Linked DNA regions of Anolis sagrei. The protein of the gene in region 1 purifies or fractionates together with the protein of each later gene. This does not show direct contact. Links are inferred from orthologs where the notes say so. Each region holds a gene or a part of one and is shown in the gene's direction. Other genes may lie near its edges.

Evidence for each region. The genes of interacting proteins can lie anywhere in the genome.
Region 2: the proteins of TNKS1BP1 (region 1) and CNOT11 purify together in Homo sapiens (affinity purification with mass spectrometry; 5 studies listed by BioGRID and IntAct, counting the BioPlex papers as one, with this or other methods). This does not show direct contact. The link is inferred for Anolis sagrei from reciprocal best matches to the Homo sapiens genes TNKS1BP1 and CNOT11.
Region 3: the proteins of TNKS1BP1 (region 1) and CNOT6 purify together in Homo sapiens (affinity purification with mass spectrometry; 3 studies listed by BioGRID and IntAct, with this or other methods). This does not show direct contact. The link is inferred for Anolis sagrei from reciprocal best matches to the Homo sapiens genes TNKS1BP1 and CNOT6.

What each region holds. Positions count from the first base shown.
Region 1 is NC_090021.1:233,714,164-233,721,418, reverse strand, and holds the start of TNKS1BP1 (182 kDa tankyrase-1-binding protein), read left to right. Parts: upstream 1-4,237; 5' UTR 4,238-4,615; coding exon 4,616-4,702; intron 4,703-4,743; exon of another isoform or gene 4,744-4,847; intron 4,848-4,980; coding exon 4,981-5,122; intron 5,123-7,255.
Region 2 is NC_090023.1:103,549,729-103,556,876, forward strand, and holds the start of CNOT11 (CCR4-NOT transcription complex subunit 11), read left to right. Parts: upstream 1-4,052; 5' UTR 4,053-4,380; coding exon 4,381-4,831; intron 4,832-7,148. UniProt on the Homo sapiens protein: Component of the CCR4-NOT complex which is one of the major cellular mRNA deadenylases and is linked to various cellular processes including bulk mRNA degradation, miRNA-mediated repression, translational repression during translational initiation and general transcription regulation.
Region 3 is NC_090022.1:87,485,005-87,492,517, reverse strand, and holds the start of CNOT6 (CCR4-NOT transcription complex subunit 6), read left to right. Parts: upstream 1-4,417; 5' UTR 4,418-4,517; intron 4,518-5,275; exon of another isoform or gene 5,276-5,393; intron 5,394-7,513. UniProt on the Homo sapiens protein: Poly(A) nuclease with 3'-5' RNase activity.

The sequences.
Region 1 (7,255 bases):
ACTATGAACCATGGATGATGGGACTTGCAGTACCACCACTCACATTCTGAGACCGCTGTTAACCTTATCCAATGACTGATCAGGACCAAATTTCACACAGAGACCTCTCATGACCCACTTTACGTCCTGGTGTGGTTTGGCCGAGATGGACCGTGGATTATGGGACTTGCAGTACCATTGCTCAATTCTTCAGACCACTGCAACCCTCATCCAATTACCGATAAATACCAAACTTGGCACACTGAGTCTCCATGACGCACTCTACATCCAGGTGCAGTTTGAGGGAGGATGCACCATGGACGATGGAACTTGCAATACCTGCACTCCCTTCCTAAGACCATTACAACTGCCAACGATGATGGATCAGGACCACAATTTACACAGAGAGCCTGCATAACTCACTCTACATCCTGGTGCGGTTTGGAAGAATTTGACAATGGATGATGGGACTTGCAGTCACTTCACTCACTTCCTGAGGCCACTGAGACCCTCGCCAATGACTCATCAAGACTAAACTTGGCACATGGAGCATCAATGACCCACTCTACATCCTGGAGCAGTTTGGAGGACGACAGACCATGGATGATGGGACTTCAAGTACCTCCACTACCCAAGACTGCTGCAAAACTCATATAATGACCAATACAGACCGAAATAGGCACACAGAGCCCCCATGACCCACTCTACATCCTGCTGCAGTTTTGGAGAAGGGTGGACCATGGATGATGGAACTTCCAGTACCTTCACTCACATTCTGAGACCTCTGCAAACCTCATCCAATGACGGATCAAGACCAAACTTGGCACATAGACCTCTCATGACCCACTTTACGTCCTGGTGTTGTTTGGAAAAATTTGGAGATGGATGATGGGACTTGCAGTACCTTTGCTCACTTCCTGAGACCACTGAGACCCTCGCCAATGACTCATCAAGACTAAACTTGGCACATGGAGCTCCAATGACCCACTCTACATCCTGGTGCAGTTTGGAGGAGGACAGACCATGGATGATGGGACTTCAAGTACCTCCACTTCCTTCCAAAGATTGCTGCAACCCTCTTCTAATGACCAATCAAGACCACACTTGGCACACAGAGCCCCCATGATCCACTCTACATCCTGCTGCAGTTTGAAAGGGGATGGACTTTGGATGATGGGACTTGCAGTACCTTCACTCACTTACTGCCACCACTGCTACCCTCATCTAATGACTGATAAAGACCAAACTTGGCACACAGAGCCCCATGACCCACTCTATATCCTGCTGCTGTTTGTAGGAGGATGGCCCATGGATGATGGGACTTCAAGTACCTTCACTCACTTCCTGAAAATAATGCAGCCATTATCCAAAGACCAATAAAGACCAAACTTGGCATACAGAACCACCATTACCCACTTTCTCTAATAACCCGGGCAGCGCCGGGTCCCCAAGCTAGTATATAATAAAGAAGAGTGTTTGTTTGTATAGGACAGAGGAATTGTGGAGGGCGGAAGTGTATGTGGCAGCGTTCTGATTGGCTGCCACTGTGGTGCTATTTGCATATGGTCTCTGATTGGACAGCTTCAATAGGAGCCCCTGGTGGAGAAGAGGGTTCATGGCAGAAACGGGGCATGACAGAAGGAAATTTGCATATGGTCTCTGATTGGCCAGCCTCAAATCCAACATTCCGAGATGACAAAGAGAGGAAAGGAAAGGCCAAAGGGGGCTGGGTCAGAACACTCCCAATACAGACCGAAATAGGCACACAGAGCCCCCATCACCCACTCTACATCCTACTGCAGTTTGGAGGAGGATGAACCATGGATGATGGGACTTGCAGTACCACCACTCACATTCTGAGACCTCTGTTAACCTCATCCAATGACTGATCAGGACTAAACTTCGCACACAGACCTCTCATGACCCACTGTACGTCCTGGTGTGGTTTGGCCGGGGATGGACCGTGGATTATGGGACTTGCAGTACCATTGCTCAATTCTTCAGACCACTGCAACCCTCATCCAATTACCGATAAATACCAAACTTGGCACACTGAGTCTCCATGACACACTCTACATGCAGGTGCAGTTTGAAGGAGGATGCACCATGGACGATGGGACTTGCAATACCTGCACTCCCTTCCTAAGACCATTACAACTGCCAACGATGATGGATCAGGACCACAATTTACACGGAGAGCCCGCATAACTCACTCTACATCCTGGTGCGGTTTGGAAGAATTTGACAATGGATGATGGGACTTGCAGCCACTTCACTCACTTCCTGAGACCACTGAGACCCTCGCCAATGACTCATCAAGACTAAACTTGGCACATGGAGCTTCAATGACCCACTCTACATCCTGGAGCAGTCTGGAGGACGACAGACCATGGATGATGGGACTTCAAGTACCTACACTACCCAAGACTGCTGCAAAACTCATCTAATGACCAATCAAGACCAACGTTGGCACACAGAGCCCCCATGACCCACTCTACATCCTGCTGCAGTTTTGGAGAAGGGTGGACCATGGATGATGGAACTTCCAGTACCTTCACTCACATTCTGAGACCTCTGCAAACCTCATCCAATGACGGATCAAGACCAAACTTGCCACATAGACCTCTCATGACCCACGTTACGTCCTGGTGTTGTTTGGAAAACTTTGGAGATGGATGATGGGACTTGCAGTACCTTTACTCACTTCCTGAGACCATTGAGACCCTCGCCAATGACTCATCAAGACTAAACTTGCCACATGGAGCGCCAATGACCCACTCTACATCCTGCTGCAGTTTGGAGGAGGACAGACCATGGATGATGGGACTTCAAGTACCTCCACTCCCTTCCAAGGATTGCTGTAACCCTCTTCTAATGACCAATCAAGACCAAACTTGGCACACAGAGCCCCCATGATCCACTTTACATCCTGCTGCAGTTTGAAAGGGGATGGACTTTGGATGATGGGACTTGCAGTACCTTCACTCACTTACTGACACCACTGCCACCCTCATCTAATGACTGATAAAGACCAAACTTGGCACACAGAGCCCCCATGACCCATTCTATATCCTGCTGCTGTTTGTAGGAGGATGGGCCATGGATGATGGGACTTCAAGTACCTTCACTCACTTCCTAAAAATAATGCAGCCGTTATCCAAAGACCAATAAAGACCAAACTTGGCATACAGAACCGCCATTACCCACTTTCTCTAATAACCCGGGCAACGCCGGGTCCCCAAGCTAGTAATAATAATAATAATGATACGAAATCCAGCATATATATCACATTTGCTGTATCATATTGTGTTTTTGTGTCAGTAAAATAATAATAATAATAATGTGATACAAAATCCAGCATATATATCTCATTTGCTGTGACATACTGTGTTTTTGTGTCAGTAAAATAATAATAATAATAATAATAATGTGATACAAAATCCAGCATATATATTTCATTTGCTGTGACATACTGTGTTTTTGTGTCAGTAAAATAATAATAATAATAATAATAATAATAATAATAATAATAATAATAATGTGATACAAAATCCAGCATTTATATCTCGTTTGCTGTGCCATATTGTGTTTTTGTGTCAATAATAATAATAATATTCTTTTGTCTGGATAATTTACCATGTCTTTGCCTGTGAAACCCTTAGTATTTTGATATATATAGACTAGTATAAATAGACACAAGATGCGACCCTGGTAGAGGCTTGGCAAACAGCTCTGGAGGAGTATGAAAATAATTGGGATCCATTGTGGCTTGTAGAAAAATGAAGTATCTGAGCGGCAAGAACAACAATGTCTGTTCTGCCTTTTTCTCTCTCTCCTTCAGAGGCATTCTGCCTGCTTTCAAATTTCCCTTAAAAGGGAGAGACTGTGTGGTTCCACCTCCTTCGGCCTGGTGTTCAGATGCAAGCTACGGAGCAGGGCTGTTTACACTCTCTGGGCTGTGTTTCAGTCTCAGGCCGTTTTTGTCACACGGCGGGAGAGTTTTCCTTTTCATCCTCGGGTTCACTTCTGTTCTTGAGTGCTGAACTAGCAGAGCAATAGCCAGTTGGAACGGCTTCTGGCACGCACCCTCCCCATAACCCTGTTCCTCCTCCTGGCCAGGGTTTGGCCCTCTCTAGAAATCTAGTGGGAGGCTGTTGCCGTAGCGACGGGAGCAGGCCCCAGCTTTACCTCACTGAATTCCAGGGCCGGTGCCAAGCAATTGAGAAATCGGGAGGAGGGGGAAGTACTCCAGATGTTTACTCGCTGCTCTGCATATCCGGGTTGGGAGCAGACACAGCTGAGACGGAGGACCGAGCAGCAACGCTTCCTGTTGCTCGAAGGGGTGGAGAAGCAAGGGCTTGGAAAGAGAAGGGAGATTCGGGCTTGCAAGGCAGCCAAAGGGGAGTGTTGTGGCAAAGTGACAAAGGAAGGGGGAAAGGAGGCAGCACAAGAGTTCAAGGCACAGATTTGGCATGAGAAGGAGCAGTGTCTCTGGCAGGGTGTGACAGAGGTGGAGCAGGGGCAGTGCTGCGTGGAGCAGAGCAAGAGAAAGCTAACAGCTTTATGAGTGTCACATTCCCATCCTTCAACATGAGTCACGGCCTGGGTGCTTGCAAGAGACTCGCTCCCTTCATCCATGTTCCAGCCTGCCCTGGGAGCGGCCTGCCATGAAACCGACTCTGCGTCTGTGCAAAAGAGCCCATGGATCCCTATAGTTAAGTTAGTAAGGACATCTTTAATCCATATATCTCCTGAATGTGTTGGGATTAGAAAGGAAGGAACAACCAAAACAAAAGAAAGAAAGAAAGAAAGAAAGAAAGAAAGAAAAGAAAAAGAAAAAGGGAGGCTTATGCTGGAAAAGGAACCAGGTGGAAAGGTTATACCAAACTTGGGGGGGGGGGGGGGGGGCTTTGGTGTCCTAAGAGATAGGAAACCTTGTTAACCTGTTTACAGATTTATATTTTTCCACAGGTTGTCTAAACTCATCTTTTTCTGCTTTAGGGACTGACATTTATGTGGAGTTCTGAATCCCAGCTTGGTGATGTGATGGATCCTAAGCCCCAGCCGCTGTCCTCCCTCCTTCCCTGTACTGCTGCCAATGGACGTGGGGGGCCCAAGCAACCATCAGGCAACCCAGAGACAGGTATGTCCTGTGATTTTAGCCTTTAGCTTGAGGAGCAGTATCATTGGGTACACCTACACTGTAGAATTAATGCAGTTTTGACACCATTAGAACTGCCAAGGCTCCATGCTATGGAATCATTGGTGTTGTAGTCATACCTAAAATTGATAGTGTACGAGGTGGTAATCTCAAGCTTGAACTTCTGCAATGCATTTTACATTGGGCTACTTATGCACCAAGTTTGGAAACTTCCCTTTGTTCAAAACACAGCAGCCAGACTAGTTACAGGAACACCCAGGAGTGAACGTATTACATCTATACTATAGTCACGCTTCTGGTTGCCCCAGGCAAAGTACAAACTGTTGGTTTTGAACTTTAAAACCCTACATGGCTTAGGTCCAGGTTACATACAGGATCACCTTCTCCCATACAATACACCCTGCACACTTAGGTCCTCTGGGGGCTGCTACTCCTACCAGACAGAACTTGACTGTCACTCAGAGGACCTTTACATCAGCTGCCCCAGGTCTCTAGAATGACCTGCGAGAAGAAATCCGACAACTAAATTAGACCAATCTCTTCTTATACAGCTACCCAGTCAATTCTAAACTGAATTTTCTACTCATGTCTTGTGTTTGCTGTTTTAATTGTTGTTCTGTGATTTTTAATATATGTATTTCATAGAAATACATTTTAATAGATGTATTTAGCATAATGGGTTGTTGTAGGTTTTTTCAGGCTATATGGCCATGTTCTAGAGGCATTCTCTCCTGATGTTTTGCCTGCACCTATGGCAAGCATCCTCAGAGGTTATGAGGTCAGACTTCATAACCTCTGAGAATGCTTGCCATAGATGCAGGTGAAACGTCAGGAGAGAATGCCTCTAGAACATGGCCATATAGCCCAGAAAACCCTACAACAACCCAGTGATTCTGGCCATGAAAGGCTTCGACAATATTTTGCATAATGTTTTACAATTATGTGTTTTTAACTGTGTTGTGCCCCACACGAGCCTCAAGAAATAATAATAATAATAATAATAATAATAATAATAATAATATCTATCATTTTCTGCCCAAAAGGGCTGGTGCCTCACCAGACTACACATCTTAAGATTCCATATCATTGAGCCATGGCAATTTAAAGTGATGTCAAGCTGCATTAATTTGACAGTGTAGATGCGTCAATTGTCATTAAATCATGCATTGTTTTATCAAATTTATAGAGGCTCTGGATTTTCCTGTTTAGGGGTGATGGGTCATCTGAGAGTTGAGAACCAGTTGTTTTTGTTTTTAGATTACATGATATCGTTCATGCTTAATTGGAGTGCTGTAGGCTCTTACTTTTATATGCATGAGGAGGATTTTTTTCTTTGTCTTCTTTTTTAATATGGTTCAAACGTATATTCATCAACTGCTGTTTGCAGTGGAGCTCCCCCCCCCTCCAAGAGCTGTGTCATATGATTCTTCTTACCTTAAAGATATTACAGTTTATATGCAGTCCTGAGGGACTTCACAGGTGGTATTAGTAGTAATTTAGAGGCTCATCCAGTCTAGCTTGTGTCCAACGTTACATATCATCTTTAATTTTTCTTTGTGCTGATAGCACTGTGAGATTATAGATTTACAGAGGAGCAGTGCTACACTAAATGTTTCTGAGGTCTAATTGTTTTTTTTTTTACTTACAAATGAACTATCGAAGAGTGCTCTTAGTTTCACTGCCCACCAGTCCAGCTCTGTGAAATTTTATTCTTAGTCATGCTCCAGTTATACACAAATAACTGAAGCCTATCATGGGTAGCCATGTATCTGAATTTTGATGCATTGGGTAGCCATGTATCTGAATTTTGATGCATTGAGGAAGTGTTCATTACCTTATCATAGTGATTAACATCCCCATAGCTGTACCTTTCCCTGAATTAACAAGTGTATAGAACTTTCACAGTGGCTTTATGAGAAACATAATAGAAATGAGGTTTTAGATTTTGCTGTAATAGGGATGATAGCAAAATATGCCCAGCTCTAATCAGCTTCTACCCCATTTCTGTTTAATGCTGGTTGTAATAATCTAATGGAGAGAAACAATGGGTGCTTTTATACTTAGTGGTGCCTAACACAAGGTGGTCTAACCTGAGAAGAAACCACAGCTGTAAAA
Region 2 (7,148 bases), on another chromosome or scaffold:
TGTTTTATAATTTCCTATTTTCTAGATGGCAACATCCAGAGCACATTGGAATTTAAGACAAATTGAAGACCCATCTCTTTTGGTAGGCCTACCCAGTAAATTTTAAATTGTGAAGTTTAATCTAAATTTTATCAATGGATTTAATTTATATTTTAACTCTGGGTATCTTGTATGTCTTTTAATAGCGATTTATCTCTTGTTGTAATAATGGTGTACCCTGACTCAAGCCGCAAGGAGAGGCGGGTAATAAATTCATCATCATCATCATTAGATTAATAACAAGATTAGTACACAGCAAACAAGATCATTCCACTGGCTTTTGTATTTGATCACATGCCAGACACTTCCCAAGGACTGTGTGATGTATTGGCGAATAATGCGTGCAAATCCGACTCAAGATGGCTCACAGATAAAACTGGTTAAAATCAAACAATATTGTTTAATTTTTAAAATTTAAAATATAAAATTATTTTTACGTATTTATATTTATTTATTTATTTATTTAGAACTTTTATATACTGGTATTCTCACCTCCGACGAGCGACTCAGGCCGGTTATATGTCTTATATGTAGTAAATTATTATTATCTGTTTAGGTGGCACAGAGTTATAACTCTTTAATAATTCACAATTTTGCTTATATGAACGTAAGGCTTTTAAATTTCATGAACACACCAAACAGTACCATTTTAATATGCTAAGCAAGTTATAAATGAAGCTTTTTAATGTTACTAAAGTAATAAAATAAACCTAGGGCAATTATTTCGATTCCCCTCTAAATTTGTTTCCTCATCTTGGAAAAGTGTTTTTAAAAAGCAGGAAAAAAACATAAGAAAAAGAGAAAGCAGCATCCATATTTATTAATGTATACGCTACCTTTTCCCCAGGATAGAACCAAACAGGAAACAACATTTATAACCTAGGAACAAAACTCGTGTTACATAGTGTTATTATCCTTCAACCCTGACTTTCTGTATGGAAAAGAGAATGCCAATCTCTAAAGCAGGCATGGGCAAACTTTGGCCCTCTAGCTGTTTTGGACTTCAACTCACACAACTCCTAACACCTGGAGGGCCAAAGTTTGCCCATGCTTGCTCTTGGTAAGGTAAAGGTAAAGGTTTTCCCCTGACATTAAGTCCAGTTGTGTCTGACTCTGGGGGTTGGTGCTCATCTCCATTTCTAAGCCGAAGAGCCGTCGTTGTCCATAGACACCTCCAAGGTCATGTGGCCAGCATGACTGCATGGAGCGCTGTTACCTTCCCGCCAGAGTGGTACCTATTGATCTACTCACATTGGCATGTTTTCAAACTGCTATGTTGGCAGAACATGCTTGCTCTAAAGGCAGTGGTTCTCAACCTGTAGGTCACCAGGTGTTTTGCTTACAGCTACCTGAAATTGCAGCCAGTTTACCAGCTGTTAGGATCCTGGGAGTTGAAGGCCAAGACATCTGGGGACACACAGATTGAGAAACACTGGGCCCCGATCTTCACGATCTCATCTCCCTCTATGAACCGGCACAAACTTTAAAATCTTCCAAGGAGGCCCTCCTCTCGCTCCCACCCCGTCACAAGTACGGTTGGTGGGAATGAGAGAGAGGGCCTTCTCGGTGGTGGCCCCCCCGCCTCTGGAACGCCCTTCCTAGAGAAGTAAGACAGGCCCCATCCCTCCTCTCCTTTCATAAGAGCCTGAAGATCTGGTGGTTTAAACAAGACTTTGAGGACGACTAGTTCTAGCTCAGCCCCAGATACTGTTGAATATGGTCATATCTTTTTCTACCAAGTACCCAGGTTACTTCCTCCTATTAGGCCCTGGAAATGAACAGCCATAGACTCTACCTAATTTCCTGGGCCCTCTACAAATTGCACTAGCCTTGGCCTGGCCTTTTAAATTGCCTTGAACAGGCAGGATTATTTTAAATATATATGTGCTATTGTGATTTTTATGCTTATATTGTCTTGTTAATTTTATGTTGTTTACTTTGAATGTATTGATGATGTTACTTGGAAACCGCTCTGAGTCCCCTCGGGGTTTATTTATTTATAATGTCAGGAGCGAACCAAACCAGTTGTATTGCATTAAAAAACAGACAAACAAACAAACAAAACACAAAATTTGCAGACTTGGTATTCTATTAGATGTCCTTTGACCACTAGCTGGCCACTTGGAGTGCCTCTGGTGTTGCTGCAAGAAGGTCCTCCATTGCGCATGTGGCAGGGCTCAGGCTGCATTGCAGTAGGTGGTCTGTGGTTTGCTCTTCTCCACAATCTCATGTCGTGGATTCTACTTTGTAGCCCTATTTCTTAAGGTTGGCTCTGCATCTTGTGGTGCCAGAGCGCAGTCTGTTCAGCGCCTTCCATGTCGCCCAGTTTTCTGTGTGCCCAGGGGGGAGTCTCTCATTTGGTTTCAGCCATTGATTGAGGTTCTGGGTTTGAGCCTGCCACTTTTGGACTCTCGCTTGCTGAGGTGTTCCAGCGAGTGTCTCTGTAAATCTTAGAAAACTATTTCTTGATTTAAATTGTTGGCGTGCTGGCTGATACCCAAACAGAGGATGCGCCGGAGATGTCACTGCCTTGGTCCTTTCACTATTGGTTGCTACTTTCCAGCAGATGTCAGGTGGTGCGATACCGGCTAAACAGTGTAATTTCTCCAATGGTGTAGGGCGCAGACATTCCTACACCACTGGCATGTCTCATTAAGAGCCACATCTACTGTTTTAGTGTGGTGAGATGTGTTCCACATTGGGCATGCATACTCAGCAGCAGAGTAGCATGACGCAAGGGCCTATGTCTTCACTGTGTCCGGTTGTGATCCCCAGGTTGTGCCAGTCAGCTTTCATATGATATTGTTTCTAGCACCCACTTTTTGCTTGATATTCAGGCAGTGCTTCTTGTAGGTCAGAGCATGGTCCAGAGTGACTCCCAGGTATTTGGGTGTGCTGCAATGCTCCAGTGGGATTCCTTCCCAGTAATCCTCAGAGCTCAGGATGCTTGTCTGTTCTTGAGGTGAAAAGCACATGTATGTGTTTTAGATGGATTAGGGATCAGTGGGTTTTCCCCATAATGGGCAGTAAGAGCACCTAGAGCAGGGGTCCTCAAACTAAGGCCCAGGGGCCGGATACAGCCCTCCAAAGTAATTTATCAGGCCCTCGCTCAGGGTCAACCTAAGTCTGAAACTACTTGAAAGCACACAACAACAACAACAACAATCCTACCTTTCCAGCCAAAAGCAGGCCCACACTTCCCATTGAAATACTAATAAGTTTGTATTTGGTAAAATTGTTCTTCATTTTAATTATTGTATTGTTTTAAAGTGTTTTTTGCACTACAAATGAAATATGTGCAGCGTGCATAGGAATTTCTATTTTTTTCCAATTATAATCCGGCCCTCCAACAGTTGAAGGACTGTGACCTGGCCCTTTGTTTAAAAAGTTTGAGGACCCCTGATCTAGAGCATCGGAGAGCTTCTGTTCAACCATCTCAAAGTTTCCTGCTTGAGCAGTAATGGCATGATCGTCAGCATAGATGAAACTCTCTGTCCCTTCTGGCAGTGGCTGGTCATTTGTGTAGATGTTGAACATGGATGGAGCGAGCATGCTCCCCTGAGGCAGGCCGTTCTTCTGTTTCCGCCATCTGCTTCTCTGGCCCTGGAACTCAACAAAAAAGCTCTTGTTTTGTAGCAGGTTTCCTATGAGGCGGGTGAGGTGGTCGTCCTTTGTGATATTATACATTTTTCTAAGGAGGAGGCGGTGACTGACAGTATCATAAGCTGCTGACAGGTCTATGAAGACAGCTCCTAGGGGTGGTAGAGCGGTATAGAAATAAAGTTTTGTTGTTGTAAGGCGACACATGTCTCGGGTCATCTGATGAAAGCGCTCCGCCTGAAAAAGGAATCGGCCAATCCCTTTCCTCCTGCTGACGTTCCAAATTCGAGCAGCCAATCCAGTCTTTCCCTCAAGTATCCGAGCTGGGAAGAACCAATCAGATGGGCAAGGCTCGGCGAAAATCAATCTGGCCCATGGAGAGAGAGAATGATAGTTCCTCCCTCCCTCCGTCCCGCCCTCGGGCCAGTTTCCCGCTCCTCTGCCTTTAATTTTGCGACAGTGTTGAAAACGCGCGGTGGGGGGTAGCTTTACGGCAGGAAGGTGAGAGGCTGAACAATAGAGCGCGCGCAAGGAGGAAGAGGGGAGAGGAAGAGGCCGTGAGGAGAAAGAGAGGGAGAGGGAGAGGGGGTGGGTCGAGGCTGGATGCCCGGGGGCGGGGCCCGTGCGAGTTGTTCTGAGGGCGGCTGAGCCCCAGAGGCGGCGGGTTCGGTCCCCGGCCGCGGCCTTCTCGCCCGCGGCGGCCTTTCCTTCGGACTGGAGCCGCCCTGCCCTGAGGAGAAGATGAGCCTCTCGCCGAAGGAGCTGTCGAGCCTGCTGAGCATCGTCTCGGAGGAGGCGGGCGGGGGCAGTTTCGAGGGCCTCTCCACGGCCTTCCACCACTACTTCGGCAAGGCCGAGCACTTCCGCGTGGGCTCCGTGCTAGTGCTGCTCCTCCAGCAGCCCGACCTGCTGCCCACGCCGCCGCAGCGCCTCACCGCCCTCTACCTACTCTGGGAGATGTACCGCACCGAGCCCCTCGCCGCCAACCCCTTCGCCGCCATCTTCGCCCACCTCCTCAACCCCGCGCCGCCCGAGCGCGCCAGCGCCGCCCCCGGAGCGCCCCCCGCCACCGCCGCCCAGCCCAACGCCAGCGCCGCCCCGGGATCCGCGGGATCCGGCTCAGCTGGGCCAGGCCCGGCCGGAGCGGGGGGTGGAGGCGCCGGCGACGACGGCGAGAAGCCCCCGCTCTCAGGTAAGCCACCCATTCAGGTCTGCACAACCTGTGGCCCTCTAACCCAGGCCTGGGCCAACCTGGGCCCTCCAGACGTTTTGGACCCCAACTCCCACCATTCCTAACAGCCTCAGGCCCTTTCCTTTTCCCCCTCAGCCGCAGCGGCAGAGTGGGAAAAGGAAAGGGCCTGAGGCTGTTAGGAATGGTGGGAGTTGGGGGTCCAAAACGTCTGGAGGGCCCAGGTTGGCCCAGGCCTGCTCTAGCTGATCTGGCCTCCCAACTCCCAGAATTCTGCACCATTGGACCAACTGGGAGTTGGAGGCCCAAGCACCTGGAGGGTACAGGCCTCAGCTAGGTATGGATGTTTGTTTGTTTGAACCACACGTGCTCCTATATTGCGTGATGGATCCAAACTTGGCACACATATCCCTCGTGATCCAAATTAAAATACTTGTGGGTTGTTTTCTTGTTTAGCTTTTTTATCGTTTCAGGAGCGACTTGAGAAACTGCAAATTGCTTCTGGTGTGAGAGAATTGGCCGTCTATAAGGATGTTGCCCCCAGGGGACATCCAGATGTGTTACTTCTCTCATGTCTCTGCATGGGAAGTTAGAGTTGACAGATGGGAACTCACCCTACCTCCAATATTCAAACCGCCGACCTTTTGGTCAGCAGTCCTGGGTTTCACCGATTGCATCTCTGGGGGCGGGGTTGATACAGCAAGATGAGAGTTGTAGTCCAGTCACATCTGAAGAAGCATGTGAATCCCACCCACAATAGGTCTGGAGAAAGCTGGCTCATATATACCAATCATGACCAATGTTAGGGGGGTTAAACTACCTCCCCCCCCCCTCTCAGAGCTTAAGGAAGGAAAAAGGACATTATATTGAAAGATATATAAGTATGAGAAAAAGAGAACTAGAAAAAAGTGGGGTGGAAAATAAAAGGCACTCAAAGTGGCCAGCTACTGGTCAAAGGACATTTAGTATAATGCCAAGTTTTTAACTTTGTTTGCGTTTTTTAAATACATTACAACTGTAACCTTGGTTCGCTTCTGACACGATAAATAAATAAATACTTTGCATTGTCTTGTCACCAGTTAAATCTTGATGTCTGTGCCTTCGCAAAAGGTCTCTCTAGTATGTATTGCTGAATTATTGATTTTAATATTATTCTGAAAGATATCTAGAAAAAAATAAAGTAAAATGTAAAAGGAGAAATAGAAAGAAAAAGGGAAAGAAGGAGAACAATAAGATTATTACTGTCATCTTGTCAGCAATGAGATATTGCTGCTGTGTGCCTTCACATGTTTTTTCAGTCATGCTTTATCTAGTGATGCTAATTTTGTTGTGGAGCCCCTGTGGCACAATGAGTTAAACCCTTGTGTTGGCAGGACTGCTGACTGAAATGTTGGCAGTTCGAATCTGGGGAAGCAGGGTGAGCTCTTTCCTGTCAGCTCCAGCTTTCCATGCGGGGACATGAGATAAGCCACCCATAGGGTGGTAAAACATCCAGGCGTCCCCTGGGCAACATCCTTGCAGACAACCAATTATTTCGCACCAGAAGCGACTTGCAGTTTCTCAAGTCGCTCTAGACACTTTTAAAATTATCATTGATTTTAACTTTACACTTAAATGTATCTTAACATTTTTAAAAAGAAATACAGAAAGAAAAAAGATTATTTCTATTGTCTTTTCAGCAGTTTTAATTTGACAGTGTGTGCCTTCACAGAAGACTTCTTTGATAGTGGTGTCACTATTGATATTGTTATTGATTTTAACATTACACTGAAAGTTATCTGGAAAAGGAAAGGGAAAAAAGAGAAAAATAAGGAAAAAGGGAAAAAAATCAGATGACTTATCTTCATCTTTTCAGTAAATAGATATTGTTCTGTTTGCCTTCATAGAAGGTTACCCTGGTAGTGCTTTATCTACTGATATTATTGCCATTGATTTTAAACACTACACTGAAAGACCTCTATAACAATAATGAAAAATTAAATATAGTTGTTGCAGTGTGCTTCACAGAAGGTTTCTCTAGTAGTGCTTTATCTGCTGTTGTCTTCATTGATTTTAAAATTACACTGAAAAATATCTAGAAAAAACAAAAGAAAATAGAGGTAGAGAAAAGAAAAAAAGATTTCCAATCATATTTTCAGAAGTTATACATACTATATATGTTCTTTATCTGGAAATCTGAAATATACAAAATTATTCACATGGGTAGTTGGGATAGAGACGCCTTTGCTTTCTTGTGGTTCAATGTACACAGGCTTTATTTCATGCACAAGATTATTACAATCTTGTGTATAAAATTCCCTTAAGGCTATATGTGCAAGGT
Region 3 (7,513 bases), on another chromosome or scaffold:
GTTCATATTTACAATCCAACCACAATGAAAGGGCTGCATTATTCCCCTCGCATACACATTAGACAGTGAAACTAGAGACAAATCATTTTGATCAGATAAATCATTCTCAATATAAAGTTCAGCATCAAAGCCTGCCAATCTGAAATGTTCATAGAGACAGAAATGTTTGTTAACAGGCAAGTCAAATAAAGGATTGATTTTTTTTAAGAAAAAGGACATTAATAAGCTTACATAACAATGTACTTACCATGTTAAGGTGTGCAAAATGAGAAGCACCTCGTGTTACAATCTTTGTTCCCATTAAGTATCCAGACCAGAAAACTAATACTTGTCACTGTCCATCTGTTCAAAATGTTTGCCTCATTAGGATATTGATGACAGCTATAAGCAGCAAAGCAGGTTTATAAGCAAAGATAAAAAACATGATCTTGCATTACACTATTTACAGCACACACTCTACACGCTAAAGAACCTTTATGCTGCTCTCATATACAGGATCCAGCTAGAAAATGTCTTACTATCCACACTCTGAATAAGTGGTTCAATGTGACAAACAGCTTAAAAATCTATTGGTAGGATTGCATAGATTCACTGTATGTTAACTCCCAAATTCCTTGTTGTATAATGCAAAGAATACTGAGACTGTACATATTCTTGGCAATGCTGATAATTATGTGTTGTTTGTATTGTGTTAAAAAAGCATAAACTACATAAACTAAAATGTGTAAACAACCTGTCTGTTGATTCTACTGTAGTCTTGAATATGATTGGGAGTAGGTTACATACCAGGGACCTGAGCCATAACAGCCAAGCCATCCCTTAATAGCAGTACAGTAACCTGACACCTGTCTTATAATAAACTATGTATATACATACAATCAACTTTGCCTTATAAACTGCATTTTAGTGTCCAAAATGATTTATCTGTGATTGTCCAAATATCCAGCATTAAAATATCCTAATCAGAATTAAATGTGGTGAACAGGACTTAAACACCCAGTTCCCAATAAGTGAGCCTTTTTAACCTGACAGCTCTGCCACCCACTAACCTATATTTCTAGTGATCTTTCTCAGCACAGCCCACACCCTGTATTTTTAATAGAAACGACTTCCACACAAGTATAATCCTCAATATCAAGCCCTTGAATAGGCAGGCCTATTCATTTCCCCTCAAATCGTATTCAAGTCAATCCTTTCCTTCAGTCTCTACCTTTAAATTGCATAAAGACTCACCTAGCAAGGTTTTCAGTCTGTTTTTGACCTATTTACTCAGATTCAAATCCTAATGAGTTCAAAGTGATTTAATCCTTAATGCGGAGGTTAGCAAATGACAACATAGGTACGACATATAACACACAAGGCCACCTTTTCTTCTTCAGCTGGGGAGTGCCACTAGGGCTAAGTTTTTCAAGGACTGCAGTCTCAGCTTAACCATTTCATACAGCATTATCCTACCCTTGTCGATTTATGTATCATATCAATAGAGCTGTTCTATTTAAATGAAACTGCCCAATGTCTGACAGAATTATTTAACACTAATGCATTGCCATCAATTTTCAACAGGCAACCTCAAAGAGAGGCTAAATTATTTTTTAATTCCAAAAAGCAAACCTTGATTTTACCATTTTATATAAGGGACATTGTTTTACTAAGTATATTATGAGGCTTCCATATCCAGATTTTGGTATACATGGAGGTTCTGAAATAAAACCCCAGAGATAGTAAGAGCCCACTGCAATTGTCAGATCTCCATGGCTTGCTAATCACTCCTTTTTTTTCTCCAACCCTTCCCAGGAACCACCCACACCTTCCAAGAGTAGACCTCTGTATCCTATCCACACTTGCATGGAAGTAAATCCATTGGTCCTGGAGGAGCCTACTGCCAGTTTCACCACTACCTGATCATACACACATCTACTCTGAAGCAATTCCCACTGATTCTTCTCCCACTCCAGGTGCATTAATTTATAAGTCACAGCCTGGGCCTTTAGGCAGAATAAAGATGCACCTGCAGTGTAAAATTAATGCAGTTTGACACCATTTTAACCGCCATAGGTGTTTTTTTGTGTGTGTGGGGAGTGACTTGAGAAACTGCAAGTAGCTTCTGGTGTGAGAACTGGCCATCTGCAAGGCTGTTGCCCAGGGGACACCCGGATGTTTTACCATCCAATGGGAGGCTTCTCTCATGTCCCCGCATGAGAAGCTGAAGCTGACAAGGGTTTAACCCACGGTGCCACCGGGGGCTCCATAGGTGAATACTATGCCATAGGTGAAGGCTATAGAATCATGGGAGATTTAGTTTTACAAGTGCTTTGGCCTTTTCTGCCAAAGAATCTGGGGCTTCACCAAACAACAGCTCCCTGGATTCCATAGCATCATCCATGACAGTTAAAGCAGTGTCAAACTGCATTATTTCCATAATATCGAATAGATGCATTCCAAAAGATGCTTGTAACCTCCCCCCTACTCCACCCACCCAACAAATCAGGAGGCACAACCCTGTCAGTCTGGAAAATGAGTCTGCAAAGGGCTCTTGTAGTACCTTTAAGACTAAGGCTGGATCTACACTACAATATAATCCACATTGTCTGCTTTGAACTGGATTATATAGGGGTCCTTCCATCCTGCCCCTTTATCCCAGGATCTGATCCCAGATTATCTGATTATCTCAGGATACCTGGCAGCGGGGACTCGTATATTCCAGTTTAAAGCAGATAATCTGAGATCAGATCCGGGGATAAGGGCAGTGTGAAAGGGCCATAAATCTTCACTGCCATGTAATCCAGTTCAAATCAGATAATTATCTCCACTTTAAAAGCAAATGTTTCAAATCCTCTCGCATCAGACAGTAGGGTAAAGTTTCCTATTGTTGTCTTACTGCACTGCCCCAAAGGCCTGGTCCCACAGCCAAGTTTTTACCATCTTTCTGAAGGACAGGAGGGAGGGGGCTGATCTAATCTCACCAGGGAGAGATTTTCATAGCCGAGGGGCAATCACTGAGAAGGCCCTCTCTCTCTCTTGTCCCCACCAATCTCAACAGTGACAGGACCCAGAGCAGGCCCTCCCTGGAAGATCTTAGTCTCCGGATGGTTCACAGAGGGAGAAAATCCCACAATATCTGCTTTGAACTGGGTTATCTGAATCCACACTGCCATAAATTCCAGTTTAAAGCAGAAAATGTGGGATTTTATACAGCTGCGTGGCATTGGTCTCAGATAACCCAGTTCAAAGGAGATAGATACTGTGAGATTTTTGCCTTGATATTCTGGGTTATAGGGCTGTGTGGAAGGTCCCTTATTCTCTATACCAGGCATGGACAAACTTGGGCCTTTTTCCAGGTGTTTTGGACTCCCAGCTTCCACAATCCCTAACAGTGGCTGTTAGGAATTATGGGTGAAGTCCAAAACACCTGGAAAAAGGCCCAAGTTTGCCCATGCCTGGCTGTTAGTGATTGTGGAAATGGGAGTCCAAAAGACCTGGTGGGAGGGCCCAAATTTGCTCAGGCCTGTGCCACACTGTAGAATGGCGCCACTTTCACCAAAATGACTCAGTGCTACGGACTTTTGGACTTCCAATTCTCACAATCCCTAACAGTCTATGGAATTATGGGAGTTGAAGTCCAAAACACCTGGAAAAAGGCCCAAGTTTGCCCATGCCTGGCTGTTAGTGATTGTGGAAATTGGGAGTCCAAAAGACCTGGCGGGAGGGGCCCAAGTTTGCTCAGGCCTGTGCCACACTGTAGAATGGCGTCACTTTCACCGAAATGACTCAATGCTATGGAGAACGGAGAGTTGCAGTTTGACAAACACTGCCGGTGCCTCACCGAACTGCAACTCCAGAGCATTGAGCCACGGGCCAGGCGGCATCCATGCCCCTTTTACCAGAGGTCATACTTACTTACCTACTTTACTTAGGCAATCCCTCGTTGGACAAGTAGGATAGTCTTCCAGGATCAATATTCTTGTGACTGTGGAGCCCTATTCTTGACCTGTACCTTCTCCCTCAGTGAGGGCATTGGTTTCCAGGTGGAAGGCAGTCTTGGTCGGGGTTGGCTTGATGCATCCTCCTCTTGGAACGTTTCTGTCTTTCACCCTCCATTTGTGCCTCTTTAAATTCTGCAGCACTGCTGGTCACAGCTGACCTCCAGCTGGAGCGCTCAAGGGCCAGGGCTTCCCAGCTCTCAGTGTCTATGCCAGAATTTTTAAGGTTGGCTTTGTGGCCGAAGCCTACCGGACTCACCACGCGTGGCCTTTCCTCCGGACCTCCCAGCGACCCCAAACGCCGCCATCTTCAGGCCCAACCGCTTCCTTCGGCGGAGGACCCTGAAGCCTGCCTGCCTGCCTGCCTACCGCCGCCATGATGCTTATTTGCTTCCCATGAGCGGGAGGCGGAGGAAGAAGAGGAGGCGGAGGCGGCGGCAGCAGCGGTGGGGGGAGCCTGTTCTCCCGTCCGGCCCGCGGCAGGAAACAAAGAGCCAGGCAGGCAGCGGAGACGAGACGGGGATGCGGCAGCCACAGGTACGGAGCGAGGAGGACGAGAAGGGGGCGGATGGAGGGAGCAGGAACTAGGGGAGATGAGAAAAAGCTCTCTCCTCTCTGAGGGACGGTTGGTCGGAGGACGAGGAGGAGGACGGGGGCGCCTCTGAGGAGGCCCTGAGGGAGATGAAGCGCCCCTGAGGGGGAAACGAGAGCGTGGGCGTCACCTCCTTCTCAGGGAAGGAAGAAAGGAGAACCTAAACCAGTCAGGCGGCAAGATGGAGAAGCCTGAGCCAGGCCTCAGGGTGGCTTGGTTGCTTTCTTGGCACAAAAGGCCCGCTTCTGTTAGGGTGAAGGCCATTGGGCCTACGAAGAGGAGCTCACACACACATATATATCAGGGCCTGGGCGAACTTGGGCCTTCCTGCAGGTGTTTTGGACTACAACTCCCACAATTCCTCACGGCCTCAGGCCCTTTCCTTTGCCCCCTCAGCCGCTTAAGCCGCTTAAGCGGCTGAGGGGGCAAAGGAAAGGGCCTGAGGCCGTGAGGAATTGTGGGAGTTGTAGTCCAAAACACCTGGAGGGAAGGCCCAAGTTCGCCCAGGCCCTGATAGGCGTTTGTTGTTGTTGTTGTGTTGTGGTAGTGGCGCGTGGGCCTAGCTGCGGCTGAGCCTTCCTGGAAGCCGCGGCGAGGCTCCGAAGGAAGTGACGTCCTCGGTCCTAAGTGCTTGTTGACAAGAGCCGGGCTTGAGGGGGGCGGGAGAGGGGGCGAGGAGGCGGAAGGCAGGCAGGCAAGAGCAAGGCAGGCAGGCAGGCCGGCTCGGATCCCTGCCCTGGGAGCCTGCGGACCCACCCGCCCTGGAGCCCAGAGCCTCTCCTTTCCCCCGAAGCCCCTCCGAAGGAAGCCCGAGGTCTCAGGTATCGCCTCATCTGGAAAAGAAAGGAAACTTGCGCCAGGCAGCTGCTTCTCTTTTCCCTTCCTTTCCCTCCCATTCCCTCCCTCCTCCCCCATTGCCTCGATTTCAGTAAGCTTTGTTGTCATTGCTCTGCACAAAAGCCCTTGCTCCCTTCCTTCCTTCCTTGCTTGCTTCCTCCGTGGGAAAACAAAAAACCTGTATTTCGTGATGGGAGTCAAGCTTAGCCTAGGCTGCTGCTGCTGCTCGCAGGCCCAGCCACAATAGGCAGCCTGTGTCTGAAATAGAAAGGCAAGAGCGTTAGCTGAGGGGGTGATTGGCAGCCCTGCTGGCCAATGGAAAAGGAGATAGGGGGCAGGGATGTATGCCGTGCAGGTAGGTGGCTGGGCCACAGAGGCTGGGGGACACGCACAGATAGGGGTAAACAGGAGGATTAGGAGGCAGAGCTCTGCGGGCTAGGTACAAAAGCAAGTCTGTTCGGTATGTTTTTGCATAAAGGATAGCATTAAGCTGCTAAAGCTTTGCTAGCCATTCAGAATAAAGGGGAGACTTTATAGCATATATATTGTAAGTATATGCTTACAATATGCTTATAGGGGGTTGGACTGGATGGCCCATGAGGTCTCTTCCAACTCTTTGATTCTATGATTCTAAGTTTCAAGGTTCTCAAAAAATTCTTAATCAGCTATGTTTATTGAAGTTATGTGTGTGTTTTAATGTGAGTTATCAATAAAAGGTATTCTTTATTATATTTATACCCTGCTTTATCTCCCCAGAAGGGGACTCAAAGCAGCTTAGCATAATAATAATAATATATATAAATAAAAATGTAATCAGGCACATCAAATCACTCTCAACAAAAGATTCCAAGGGAACTCAAAGCAGCTTAGCATAATAATAATATATATAAATAAAAATGTAATCAGGCACATCAAATCACTCTCAACAAAAGATTCCTCCCAGACACTTCCAAGCCATTAAATGCTAATCAAGGTGGTCAGTTGAAACATTCACACCTAGTTCCAGCAGACAAAAGTTCTTTGTCTCACCCTGGTCATTCCACAGATATATAAACCCATTTTCCTACTTCCAACAGACCTCACTACCTCTGAGGATGCTTGCCATAGATGCAGGCGAAACGTCAGGAGAAAATGCCTCTAGAACATGGCCATATAGCCTGGAAAAACCTACAACAACCCAATGTAATGTTAGTTTGTGGGATTAACATAACTCAAAAACCACTGGGCGAATTGACACCAAATTTGGATGCAAGTCACCTATCAGGACAACAAGTGAGCATCACATATAAAACACTGAAAAACGCAGCAGAAGAGACTTAAAAAGCCAAAAAAACAAAACAAAAATACATTACAACGCACGCATAAAACCACACATATATATGCAAACATACATATGCACAAACATACACACACACATACACACAAAACACATATAGACAGACTGGGTCACGGCAACGCGTAGCAGGGGACAGCTAATAATAATAATAATCCGGCATATAGCTCTTGTTTGCTGTGACACACTGTGATTTTGTGTCAGTAAAATATAATAATAATAATTGACAATAAACATTGACAAAATCGCAATCTCTCAACTGCAAAAGGCCACCTTACTTGGATCTGCGCGCATCATTTGAAAATACATCACAAAGTCCTAGACGCTTAGGAAGCATTCAACTTGTGATTTGTGATACGAAATCCAGCATATAGATTTCATTTGCTGTGACATACTGTGTTATTGTGTCAGTAAAATAATAATAATAATAATGCACACATTATTCGCCAATACATCACACAGTCCTAGACACTTGGGAAGTGTCTGACGTGTGATCAAATACAAAAGCCAGCATACTGATCTTGTGCTGTGTACTTATCTTGTTATGTATTAAATAATAATAAAATGAGGATTTAAATATCGAACTGCAAAGACTCTGGCCCAAGCCAGTAAAGGAGGTCCCAGTGGTGATCGGCACACTGGGTGCAGTGCGTAAAGAGCTTGGCCTGCACTTAAAAACAATAGGCGCTGACAAAATTATCATCTGTCAGCTGCAAAAGGCCACCCTACTTATATCATCATGTATTATTCACTAATATATCACACAGTCCT